Danio rerio: one gene and its partners. The main gene of each other region encodes a partner of the protein of the gene in region 2 in a complex. Links are inferred from orthologs where the notes say so. Each region holds a gene or a part of one and is shown on either strand. Other genes may lie near its edges. The genes, in order: clxn, odad4 and odad3.

The links.
Region 1: odad4 (region 2) and clxn share a complex: the UniProt entries of both Homo sapiens proteins name them as parts of the outer dynein arm-docking complex. The link is inferred for Danio rerio from reciprocal best matches to the Homo sapiens genes ODAD4 and CLXN.
Region 3: odad4 (region 2) and odad3 share a complex: the UniProt entries of both Homo sapiens proteins name them as parts of the outer dynein arm-docking complex. The link is inferred for Danio rerio from reciprocal best matches to the Homo sapiens genes ODAD4 and ODAD3.

The regions. Positions count from the first base shown.
Region 1 is NC_133194.1:42,812,072-42,816,259, forward strand, and holds the start of clxn (calaxin), read right to left. Parts: upstream 2,874-4,188; 5' UTR 2,839-2,873; coding exon 2,763-2,838; intron 2,629-2,762; coding exon 2,473-2,628; intron 195-2,472; coding exon 90-194; intron 20-89; coding exon 1-19. UniProt on the Homo sapiens protein: Component of the outer dynein arm-docking complex (ODA-DC) that mediates outer dynein arms (ODA) binding onto the doublet microtubule. Seems to regulate the assembly of both ODAs and their axonemal docking complex onto ciliary microtubules.
Region 2 is NC_133178.1:16,689,292-16,693,634, reverse strand, and holds the start of odad4 (outer dynein arm-docking complex subunit 4), read right to left. Parts: upstream 2,862-4,343; 5' UTR 769-2,861; coding exon 506-768; intron 401-505; coding exon of another isoform or gene 357-400; coding exon 269-356; intron 1-268. Other genes in the region: dnajc7 (dnaJ homolog subfamily C member 7), read right to left, coding at 3,784-3,821. UniProt on the Homo sapiens protein: Component of the outer dynein arm-docking complex (ODA-DC) that mediates outer dynein arms (ODA) binding onto the doublet microtubule. Plays an essential role for the assembly of ODA-DC and for the docking of ODA in ciliary axoneme.
Region 3 is NC_133181.1:9,167,685-9,171,337, forward strand, and holds part of odad3 (coiled-coil domain-containing protein 151), read right to left. Parts: intron 3,367-3,653; coding exon 3,210-3,366; intron 1,455-3,209; coding exon 1,305-1,454; intron 1,167-1,304; coding exon 1,082-1,166; intron 1-1,081. UniProt on the Homo sapiens protein: Component of the outer dynein arm-docking complex (ODA-DC) that mediates outer dynein arms (ODA) binding onto the doublet microtubule. Involved in mediating assembly of both ODAs and their axonemal docking complex onto ciliary microtubules.

The DNA of each region.
Region 1 (4,188 bases), on a different chromosome or scaffold from region 2:
TCATACACCTCAAAACAGTCTATTGTATATTATATATCAAATAGCACAATGTATGGAACATGTATGAGATTATAATGTAAAGAGCTCACATTTCATTTTTTCATCCAGTGTGCCTCTTAGAAAGACAGACAGAGCCTCAACCCACTCTTTAACGCTTAAGTAGCCATCGTTGTCCTTGTCAATGACACGACAAACTGAGTGCACAAGAGATTAAAAGTATAGTGAGTGATATCTTCTTGACTCTGAAACATATATGTATTTACTCATTGGCCACTTTATTAGGTGTGATTTTTTTTAATGTAAATAACTAATAATCAGCAAGATGTATCTTAATGCATTAAAGGCTAATAGTTCACCCAAACTTAATTTACTCACTCTTAAGTATTTCCAGACCTATATGATTTTATTTTTCTGTTGAACCCAAAAGAAAATATTTTGAAAAATGTTGGAAACCAATTGCAATTGACATCATAGTTATAAAAACAACTACAATGGAAATCAGTGCAATGGAAAAACCTGCAAACTCCACACAGAAACAGCAACTGACCCAGTCAAGGCTCGAACCAGCGACCTTGTTGCTGTGAGGCAACAGCACTACCTACCGCGCCACTGCGTCACCCCTTACTAAACTTAGATGTATGTATACAGGTTACAAAACACAAAGTGGTTTCTTGAACATTCATTCATTCGTTTTCTTGTCGGCTTAGTCCCTTTATTAATCCGGGGTCGCCACAGCGGAATGAACCGACAACTTATCCAGCACGTTTTTACACAGCGGATGCCCTTCCAGACGCAACCCATCTCTGGGAAACATCCACACACATAAACACTCATGCACTTAGGACAATTTAGCCTACCCAATTCACCTGTACCGCATGTCTTTGGACTGTGGGGGAAACAGGAGCACCCAGAGGAAAACCACACAAATGCAGGGAGAACATGCAAACTCCACACAGAAACGTCAACTGAGCTGAGGATCGAACCAGTGACCCAGCGACCTTCTTGCTGTGAGGCGACAGCACTGCCTACTTCGCCCGGTTTCTTGAACATGGTCACTTAAATGGCTCCACAGTCACCAGATCTCAGTTCAATACAGCACTGGAATGGGAGATTTGCATCAAGGATATGAAAGCTGCAGGTTCTTTTATTAAAATGGACTAAAACATGGAATATTTTCCGCACCTACTCAAATCTGTGCCATGAAGAATTAAAGCAATTTTGAAGCCAGAGATGGTAAAATAGATACATCACCTTAAAAAAACGTAAGTTCAGCAATCATTTACTCGATTTCCACTTGTTTAAATTTCATTGAAAACAATGGTATATATCAGGGGTGGCCAACCGTGTTCCTGGAGAGCCACCTTCCTGCAGATTTCAGTTGCTACCCATATCAAACATACCTGAACCAATTAATTAGGACCTGAACACCACGTGATAATTACAGGTAGGTGTGTTTGATATGGGTTGCAACTGAAATGTGCAGGATGGTGGCTCTCCAGGAACAGGGTTGGCCACCCCTGGTATATATAGTGGAAAAAAAACGGCCACTGACTCCATAGTACTTTTGTTCCTACTCTGAATGTCAATGGCCATTGTTGGGTTAAGTTACTTTCAAGCAGGGGTGGACTTAACAAATATGCAAGGCAAGTAGCTGCTTAGGGCCTCAGGGAATTAGGGGGTCCGACCAATGCCAAGAACCTTATATTAATCATATAGCTATTTTATCATTTTTTTCTGTGTATAACCATTAAGATTTTAACATTATTGCTTCTTTTCTAATATGGGGGCCCCATCAATAATGGAATGTTCGTTAGCTTGTTAAGAAGTGTCTTCAAACAAAAGAAAATTTCCACTGATTCACAAACAGCTATTATTTAGATAATGGTGAAAAGATTACTACTATAGAGCTTGAAAAATGATAGACAGTGCTGTGTGTTTTTGCTGTTGCATCTTTGGTAACAGGTCCAAGATATATTTATATTTAGATTATATTTAGTTTAAACATGCTGTTTATTTACCAAAATAATAATACTAATAATAAATAAATCTATAGAGGAAAAATATCTATAAAGAAAGAGAATGTTTTGTTTCAATGGGGCCCCATACCTTTGCTTAGAGCCCCCCATATGACTTAAGTTTGCCCCTGTTTTTTAAGTGAAATATATTACAATCTTAAACCACTTATAACCACATTTAGATAGGCTTGAGGTTGTAATTACTTTAACAACTAGGGTAACTTTACCCAAACAGAAAGAAACTCATAAAAGTTTAGAACCACTTGAGTGTGAGCAAACGATGGAGAAGAAGTATTCATTTTGGGTCTGAACTATCCCTTTAAGTTTAAACCCCATTATAATGCTTGCATGGTGAACCTAATAAAGTGGCCGGTGAAAGTATATATGCAATAAATACTGCACTGCAAATTGTGATTGTTTTGTTGGTCGTTGTTCTCATTCAGAAACGCAACGTTACCTCTGTCCGTCATCATGTCGTCGGTCATCCCGAAAGTGTGGTGCAGTATATTTCTGAATTTGGCCCGGTCCACTCCAATAGTCGTCTTTCTCTCTGCCTGCTCTCCCAGCAGACTGTTGAACAGCCTTATCAGACACTCCGTCTCTGTTTTATTAACTACAGTATGACCACAGCTTAGTAACGTTAAATAACCTACCTTGTTTAGTATAGTTATTAGAGTTATAACTTTATAAAGCTGCAGGTTATTAACGAACTAAAAGCTGATATCTCAAACGCAAGTAGATACTCACAATGTTTGACTTGTCTGCATAAAGTCTCGGCGAGGTTTTGAATTAATTTTCTGTTCATCGCCGACATTTTCAGCATGTTTTACTCTCTTTTTAGTCTTTGGTTGAATGTTGCTGTGGAAACGTGTAATGTGGGCGGGGCAATGTTGTGACGAGCAAGCGCTGCATACACAAACCAGGATACATCGATTTAACGCATTTTAACTTGTCGAGCGTTTCCCTTCAGGGACGCATTTTGCAAATTTATGAAGGTAATTCTTCGTTTAAAGTCGTATACCAGCGGATACAGTATGTGGTAAGATATATAAATGATCCTGTCAAACACACATTGATGGTAACTGTTGTTTACACATTGAAACCCACGTGTGTGGAAAAGTGCGAGGAAGTGTTTATTAATGAAAATACTAAGAAATGTAACAACAAACTTATTCTTCGAATTGTCCAACAAAAAAAATCATATTGCTCCAAGAAAGAAATCATATTGGTCAGCTTTAATGAAGATATTGATTGGAAAAGAACATGCTTCTCCCATTCAAATATGTAATCCCAAACAAAGCAAATTAAATCCATTTTAAAACTTTACACAAAATATACCCGGTCAATGCATTTATCTTAGAATTTACTGATATTGCAGATACTTGTTCCTTTTGTCAGGAAAATCAGGAAACTTTGACTCGCATGTATTTTACATGTAAAATCTCACTGTTTTGGTCAGATCTATGTAATTATTTGAAGAAATCCCAATCAACAAAACAAATCTTTAAACTGAAAAATATCATTTGTTGTTATTTAAGCCCCAAGAATAAAAATGAAGAATATTTCTATAACTTTTTTTTAATATTATTTGCTAAATTCTTTATCCACAAACAAAAATTTCTTAAATCCTCTCCCTCATTTGCCCATTATTTAATTGAAATTGATTTCTTGCTTAAAGCTATACGTCTATCTAACAACAACAAAAATCTGCAAGTCAATAGAAACTTATGAAAATATCATGCTTCCAGGATGTTAGTAATTAATGCTTTCTGTATTTCTAATTTCTAATTTCTTAATTTAATTTTGTACTTGCCTTTTCTTCATTTTGTTCTTTCTTTTCTTTTCTTCATATTACTTTTTTCTTTTTTTACTTATTGTTCTTATCACTTTGTAATATCACTTCCTGATTTATATTGTACATTTCTTTCACTCAATTCATTTGATAAAGTGGACTGTTGGGCTTTACAGTGCATTAAATTCATTCACAATCACTGATTACTTCATAAAAATACTATGAATGAATGAATAAGAACACAATTTCTTTTCCCCCAAATTAATAATGTTTATTAAATGACGGTGCATTTTGACAGTAATTCTATTAGTTTTTATTTCACACTAATTCAGCCTGGATGTAAGAATATAGCCTGAAACATGAATGAAGTTTGGAGCCTCT
Region 2 (4,343 bases):
GGATTTTATTTCTTGTATAATGTCTTTTTATAATTTTATTTATAAAATATAATCGCTGTTGCTGTTGTTTATATTAAAAAGTGGGCTATACATGGAATTCAAATTACTTATCAGATATCCAGAGAACGATCGAATCAGATTATACAAGTACGCCCTCTTCAGGGCAAATGCCTTACTACACAGATACATATCAACGGTAACTTTACTGAAAAATGCATTTCAGAGCAAAAACGAGAGGAAAATAAGCCAGTACTGCAAATAAACACACCTTGAAGTAGTTTTTGTTGTCTTTAAGTGAGCTCTCGGCGTCTTTCAGCGCGTTTTCTGCGTCTCCGAGTTTAACATAACACCTGGATCTGGAAACTAAACAGTTCTTATCATCCGGTTGCAAAGTTAAAGCCTGGTGGATAACAGACAGCACGTATTTATTGTAAAATAAAACAAATTTAGACACACCATATTTTCAGATGTGCGTTTCACATAAAGCCTGCATGAGTTGGCTTACCGTAGTAAAGCTCTCGACGGCTTTGACATACTCTCCTCTCTGGAACAGCTGGTCTCCTTCAGCCATGTAGGTGGTGAAGGTGCTTTTCGGGCCTTGTCCTTCCTCGTTATCGAACATTTTAATCGTATTTTAGGCAAAATTATGTCAAAACGTTTCAGTACACATCTATACGTGAGGTTGCAGTCCTGTCTGGTGTATCCTAGCAACGTGACTAACAAAACACAGTGGGACCAATGAACTGTGAGAGGAACTTTGATTGACATGCCAACACACAGCACGCCATTTCACCCTAAATGTGCAAATTTACCTCAGAAAACGTTTCATTTATACTTTTTTATACTCTTTTAGACCATTTATACACCTTACTCTTTTGTTTTACACTATACATACTGTATACAATCATACTACACTGTAAAATCCAAAAATGTAAGGTTACTTGAACCATTTGTGGATTATAACAAACCATCTCAATCCAAAAACTAACCCTAATGAGTACTGTGAACTTAATCCATTTGAGTAAACGAAGCACTGAAGCACATTATTACTGTAAAAACCATTTAGAAGGCAACTCAAAACCGTGAGGAAACCAATTGCAACAAACAATTTGAGTTAAAAATTATCTATACTGTGGACTTACTCCATTTAAGTTGAATTAATGAGGTATTTATTAAACTCGTTACCTTAAACATTGAGTTTAAAACTGTTTTCAAATGAGTAGAATTAACTTTCAGTACATTTGGAGTTAACTACCGGGTTTTACAGTGCTTATGTGCTTTACTCAAATCAATTTTAAACTCATTTCACTTGATAAAGTTGACTGTTGGGTTTTAGTGTAATGATACACTCTAAAAAGGATGTTTTTTGTTTAAAATATCTTCAAAATGTTTGACATTTCATTCTGTAAATGTTTCTTTACACACACTTTGTCTTAGACATTTGCATGTTTAAAAATATACATGACCAAAAAAAAAATTTAGAATCTGTAATATCTTAGAATTAGTTATAATGTGGTTATTCTGCTCACAAAGGCTGCATTTATTCAAACATACAGCAAAATTCAATTGTATTAAGTATTTTTATTTAATGCAGCTCAAGTTTAATCAATTCCTGTGATTTAAAAGCATGATACAAAGTCTTCAGTGTCGAGACGAACATTTTCCAGCACACAGCCAGTCACTATTTAATGAACCAGCCTTTTTGAATGAATCATTTGAATGATGAATGAATCAATTAAGACAGCTGGCAGTTTTAGTGTCATGTTATGTTAATTCATGACGCTTAAAACAAGTATTTGCACAAAAATAAATGCATTTATATAATAGATATTGTTAAAAATACATTATGTAATTACCATTTTAAATTTATATATATTTTTTTCTGTGATAATCCAACTCCCATACAGTAAGTCTTTCTCTTTTAACAATTACATATTTTTTACGTGTGATTTGAGTTGTTAGTGATTTTGTACTAATATCTGATCATAATAGAAATGCAAATAATCATATAATGATTTTAGAAGTAATAAAAATTCAGCATTGAACCACAGGAATACATTAAATTTAAAACTACATTCAATACTTAATAAACCACATTTATTTGCTAAAATGTGTACAAATAACAATGCTATAGCTAGCAAAATTGAAGACAAAAAATATTTATATATCTTTTTAAAAATGTATTGGAGACATAAAAGTTAAGCATGTGGTGAAGGGGAAAACAGAAAGAGGCTTACTTTATTTACATGGCTTTTTTTCTTTAAAAACGGTCCATAGTCGAGACTGTTCCAGCGGCGTGAGCCAAGTCAGCATGGACATTATCTTTTGAATACACTGAAGATCTTTCAAGATGAGCAACGTGAACATATTCCAGACGAATTTACGTTTTCTGAACGAACTACACGGCCAGGTCAAATACAGCAAGAGAATGGTGGAGCGCGACAAATCTGCAGCATCCAACGTGGAGGAACACTTAGTTAAAACAGTAGAGATCACCAAACATGGCTCACTGATCATGCCTGCAGTTTACTTACATCCACACACAGACAAACAGACGCGCGCACGCACACAGCAGAGTAAATGGAATCAAATCCACAAATAACCAGATCAATAATCTCCATTTTTCCTCTCTAAATCAGAAGTTGTTATTATTATTATGAGTGTTGGCTAAAAATACTCTCTCCCCTATACAGTTTAACCTATACAGATCCTAGTGTATCCAAAGATCATCCATCCATCCGTCCGAAGCTCACGTCCAGCGAATTTACAATAAATATACATATCAAAAATGTGAGTGTCTTTCAGAGTTAAAAAAAAAAATTAAACAGTCATAAACTATCAACACAAAACAAACAAAAAAACACTTTACATTCCAGTAAAATGTACAATGCAGCAAGGGCTTGAATGGCAACATATGACGAAAAAAATGAACATTACAGAGAGGGAACGTGGCCAACAGGTGCTAAAAGATAAACTTGCACTCGCTTTCTCTCAACCTCTGTATGCAGTAGTCGAACAATCCAGGAATCGACTTGCGTGTTTTTATATATATATATATATATATATATATATATATATATATATATATATATATATATATATATATATATATATATATATATATATATATATGTGATGAGATTTGGCATGAGGCGCTGCATTCATGTTTGCTGAGGTCTTTAAAATGGCTTGCAATGTTGCATGTATATAATCTGTGTGGATTCTGGCTTTGTACAGGTTTAGACAATCTATACGTCACTAGTAGTAATGAAACTCCTGTGATACACCTTGCTTTTTCATTAAAATCTGTCTTAGTTTGGATGATATGGAGCATTTTGCGATCGGTCAAGGAGAAACAGGAGATTTGCAAGTAGCACCTTCTTAAGTTCCCCCCCAAACATCAGCTGTTAAACTGAAGATTTTTTTTTTCCAAAATAATAAATGTGGAAATGATGCACTTGGGTACATTCGATATTGTGGATTAAGAAAACCAAATGATAAAAGAAAAGCTGGATTAAGAGGACACACTGATCGGAGTGAGAGAGAAAGAGAGAGAGTAGTGTGAGGTGGTAGAGTATGGTCTGCCCCTGCCGTTGTTGTCTTTTGTGCGCGAGCAGGAAAAAAACAAGCCAATGGCACAGATGCAGGTCCAACTGTGGCGCCCGAAGGCCTGATTCACCAGAGTGTCGTTCATCAGGAGAGCAGGGATGGAGGAGAGCAGTTCGGTTTCGGGGGAATTCAGAGGTTGTGGAACTACTGCATACGTGCTGGACAATGCCCAAGCTAACCGAACTGGAAGAAGAAGTTTCCAGGTCCAGATGCTGCAGGACAAAAAAAAGGGAAGAGAATGAGGAAAAAAGTGACTGTGAAGAATTGAATGTGTGAACATCACACAAAACTACTAAAAGCAGCTGGGGTGTGCTATATTGACCAATGAAAGCAGGGTTTTTTTTTGTTTAAGATTTTGATAATGACCATTTTTACTGAAAAATGAACAATCAATAACTAAAGTCACTAACTAATTATAATATAAAAAACAACAAAAATAAAAAAGTATATAATTGTTGAGAGAATGACTGTAAGAAAATTTATGAGCCCCTATTCAATTCAATTCGCCTTTATTTCTATAGCGATTTTAGAATGTAGATTGTGTCAAAGCAGCTTCACATAGAATATTAAAGTAAATTAAAACCGTGTCAGTTCAGTTTTCAGAGTTCAAGTTCAGTTTAGCTCGGTTAAATGTGGTTTAATATTCAATACTGAGAGTCCAAAAACTAAGGAGCAGATTCATCAATGCGCAGCTCTACGAGTCCCGAACCATGCAAGCCAGTGGTGACAAAAAA
Region 3 (3,653 bases), on a different chromosome or scaffold from region 2:
TTTTTTACTATATGCAGATATATTTTATGTAAAATGAATGGTACTAAATAAAAAATAGCATGCATTTATATAAAAAGATTTTCACATTTTCACAGATATTGTCAGAGGTTGATAAACTTTCAATTGCCACATACAGTTGAAGTCAGAATTATTAGCCCCCTTCGATTTTTTTTCTTCTTTTTTAAATATTTCCCAAATGATGTTTAACAGAGCAAGGCAATTTTCACAGTATGTCTGATAATATTTTTTTTCTTCTGGAGAAAGTCTTATTTGTTTTATTTCGGCTAGAATAAAAGCAGCTTTTAATTTTAGGGACAAAATTATTAGCCCCTTTAAGCTATATATTTTTTTCGATAGTCTACAGAACAAACCATCGTTATCCAATAACTTGCCTAATTACCCTAACCTGCCTAGTTAACCTAATTAACCTAGTTAAGCCTTTAAATGTCACTTTAAGCTGTATAGAAGTGTCTTGAATAATATCTAGTAAAATATTATTTACTGTCATGATGGTAAAGATAAAACAAATCCATTATTATAAATGAGTTATCAAAACTATTATGTTTAGAAATGTGTTGAAAAAATCTGCTCTCTGTTAAACAGAAATTGGGGAAAAAATAAACAAGCGGTCTAATAATTCAAGGGGGCTAATAATTCTGACTTCAACTGTATATATGGGCTTTATATGGCAAGTATACAGTATGTATCCCCATTCAAAATACATTTGACACTTCATGCCTCCAAAAATAATTAATATCAATTAAAAAACTAGATTTGGAAGAAATCATTGAGATAAAATAATATGTGATCATGTGATAAAAATATGATATTATGAGTCAAAGTTATGTCTAAGCACTGCAATAAATATAAGCTTTCTGCCTTTGTAATCATTTTCAGCATTTAATTAGTTTTTATTATTTAGATTCTGATATTTTCAGCTTAGCTCATGCTGTACTTTTAATCTGAATTTTATAACTTAGTATTTCAAAATTTGTACTTTTTAAATCATAACTATGACTTTGTATTAGGCATCTCATGTTATGTAACAGATATGTGATTTCATGTGGAAGGAGTGTCTCACCGTCAAAAGGATCCTGTTTGTGGGCCTCATGCAGCTGAATGCGAGTGTTGTACTGGGGTATTTTTCTCGCTATAGTGGCATGGAACTGCAGGGAAGCAGAAAAAATATGAGCAAGGGCTATTTTACAGCTTTAAATAAAACCAAACAAAGATAGCACATGTTCTTAAATTAAACAAAACTCTTCATAAGGCCAAAATATAAAAACACTAATGGCGTCCCTAACCTCTTCCTCCTCCATCTCCTTCATGATGGTTGCCAGATCATTGCCCTGCAGTTCCTCTTTCAGCAGCATGAGTTTCTCCTCAGCCTCAGACATCAGCTCCAGTATGTGCTCGTCTGAGTCTGGAGACAGCTGGGGTTCCGGACCCTTCATCTGCCAGAGACACAGAAAAATATTTATATTACAGGGTTTACAAATACACTCGCCGGCCACTTTATTAGGTACACCTTACTAGTACCGGGTTGGACCCGCTTTTGCCTTCAGAACTGCCTTAATCCTTTGTGACATAGGTTCTACAAGGTATTGCAAATATTCATCAGAAATGTTGGTCCATATTGACATGATAGCATCATGCAGTTGCTGCAGATTTGTCGGCTGTAGAACTATGATGCGAATCTCCAGTTCCCCCACATCCCAAAGGTGCTCTGTTGGATTGAGATCTGGTGACTGTGGAGACCATTTGAGTACAGTGAACTCATAGTCATGTTCAAGAAACCAGTCTGAGAGGATTCACGCTTTATGACATGGCATGTAATCCTGCTGGAGGTAGCTATCAGAAGATGGGTACACAGTGGTCATGAAGTGATGGACATGGTTAGCAACATACTCAGGTAGGCTGTGGCGTTTACACGATGCTCAGTTTGTACTAATGGGCCCAAAGTGTGCCAAGAAAATATCCCTCACACCATTACACTACCACCACCAGCCTAAACTACTGATACAAGGCAGGATGGATCCATGCTCTCATGTTGTTGACACCAAATTCTGAGCCTACCATCTGAATGTCGCAGCAGAAATAGAGACTCATCAGATCAGGCAGCGTTTTTATAATCTTCTATTCTTCAATTTTGGTGAGCGAATTATAGCCTCAGTTTCCTGTTCTTATCTGACCAGTGACACCCAGTGTGGTCTTCTGCTGCAGTAGTCCATCAGCCTCAAGGTTTGACGTGTCATGCATTTAGAGATGCTCTTCTGCATACCTCAGTTGTAACAAGTGGTTATTTGAGTTACTGTTGCCTATCAGCTCGAACCAGTCTGGCCATTCTCCTCTGACCTCTGGCATCAACAAGGCATTTGCGCCCACAGAACTGCCGCTCACTGGATATTTTCTCTTTTTCAGACCATTCTCTGTAAACCCTAGAGATGGTTGTGCAAGAAACTCCAAGTAGATCAGCAGTTTCTGAAATACTCAGACCAGCCCGTCTAGCACCAACAACCATGCCATGTTCAAAGTCACTTAAATCACCTTTCTTCCCCATTCTGATGCTCAGTTTGATCTACCGAAGGTTGTCTTGACCATGTCTACATGCCTAAATGCATTGAGCTGCTGCCATGTGTTTGTCTGTTTAGAAAGTTGCATTAACGAGCAGGTGGGCAGATGTACCTAAAAAAGTGGCTGATGAGTATAGATTAGTCAACACAACAGAGGGTTTTTACATATATGTCTTAAATGTACTACAAAAAATGCTTATTTTAAGGGTCAGGGAGAGGGAGAAAAAGGTCAAATAAATTACAAACAATTGAAAGTTTTATTGGTGCAATAAACCTTTAAGGGAAAGTACATTTTCAGATATTAAAATTGACAAAACCCTTTGGTCATTTGTTTTTTTTTCTTGTTGAACACATAAGAAGATATCTTCCTGTGCATTCTGCATAAGAAAAACACCCAAATAGTTTTAACCAAATGAAAGGTGAGTAAATAATGACAGAACTTTCTTTTTTGGGTGATCTATCGCTTTATCATTTTGAAAAGATTTCAGGCAAGAAAACCCATGACCTCTTGAAGCTTCAGGAAGGCTGAAGTTCCTAGAAGCCTATTTGTAGAAAACATGTCTATTATTAGCCAGGGTTATAAAGGGGCATGTTTTGTGGAGCATGTTTGATGTGTTTGGCTGGACTGATTAGTACCGATGGGATGTGCTGTAGTTTGTCGCTGAGCTGCTGCACTCCTGCTCTGACAGTGTTTAGTATGTGTGTGAGTCTGTCCAGATGATCTTTAGCTGCATCACGACGCTGCTGCTCCTGCTGTAGACGAAGCTCACACTCCTGCAGCATCTGCTCCGCGCTGAACAACGAAACAAGAGAATTACAAAGCTCACCAATGAGAATAATTGTATTATATAATGCCTTTCAGAAAATGTCACCACTAAGGTTGCATGTCTACTGAAGCGTTCTTGCACAGCTGAAAACACAAGGTAAGGGTTGCACCAGCTGTGAGTTCATAAGTCCATGCTTGAGGTTTCTTAAAGGTACAGTTCACCCAAAAAAATTCTTATTTTACTATTTACTTTCCCTTAATGGTTATAAACATTCACATGTTCCTTTATTTTAACACAATCAAAGATATTTTGA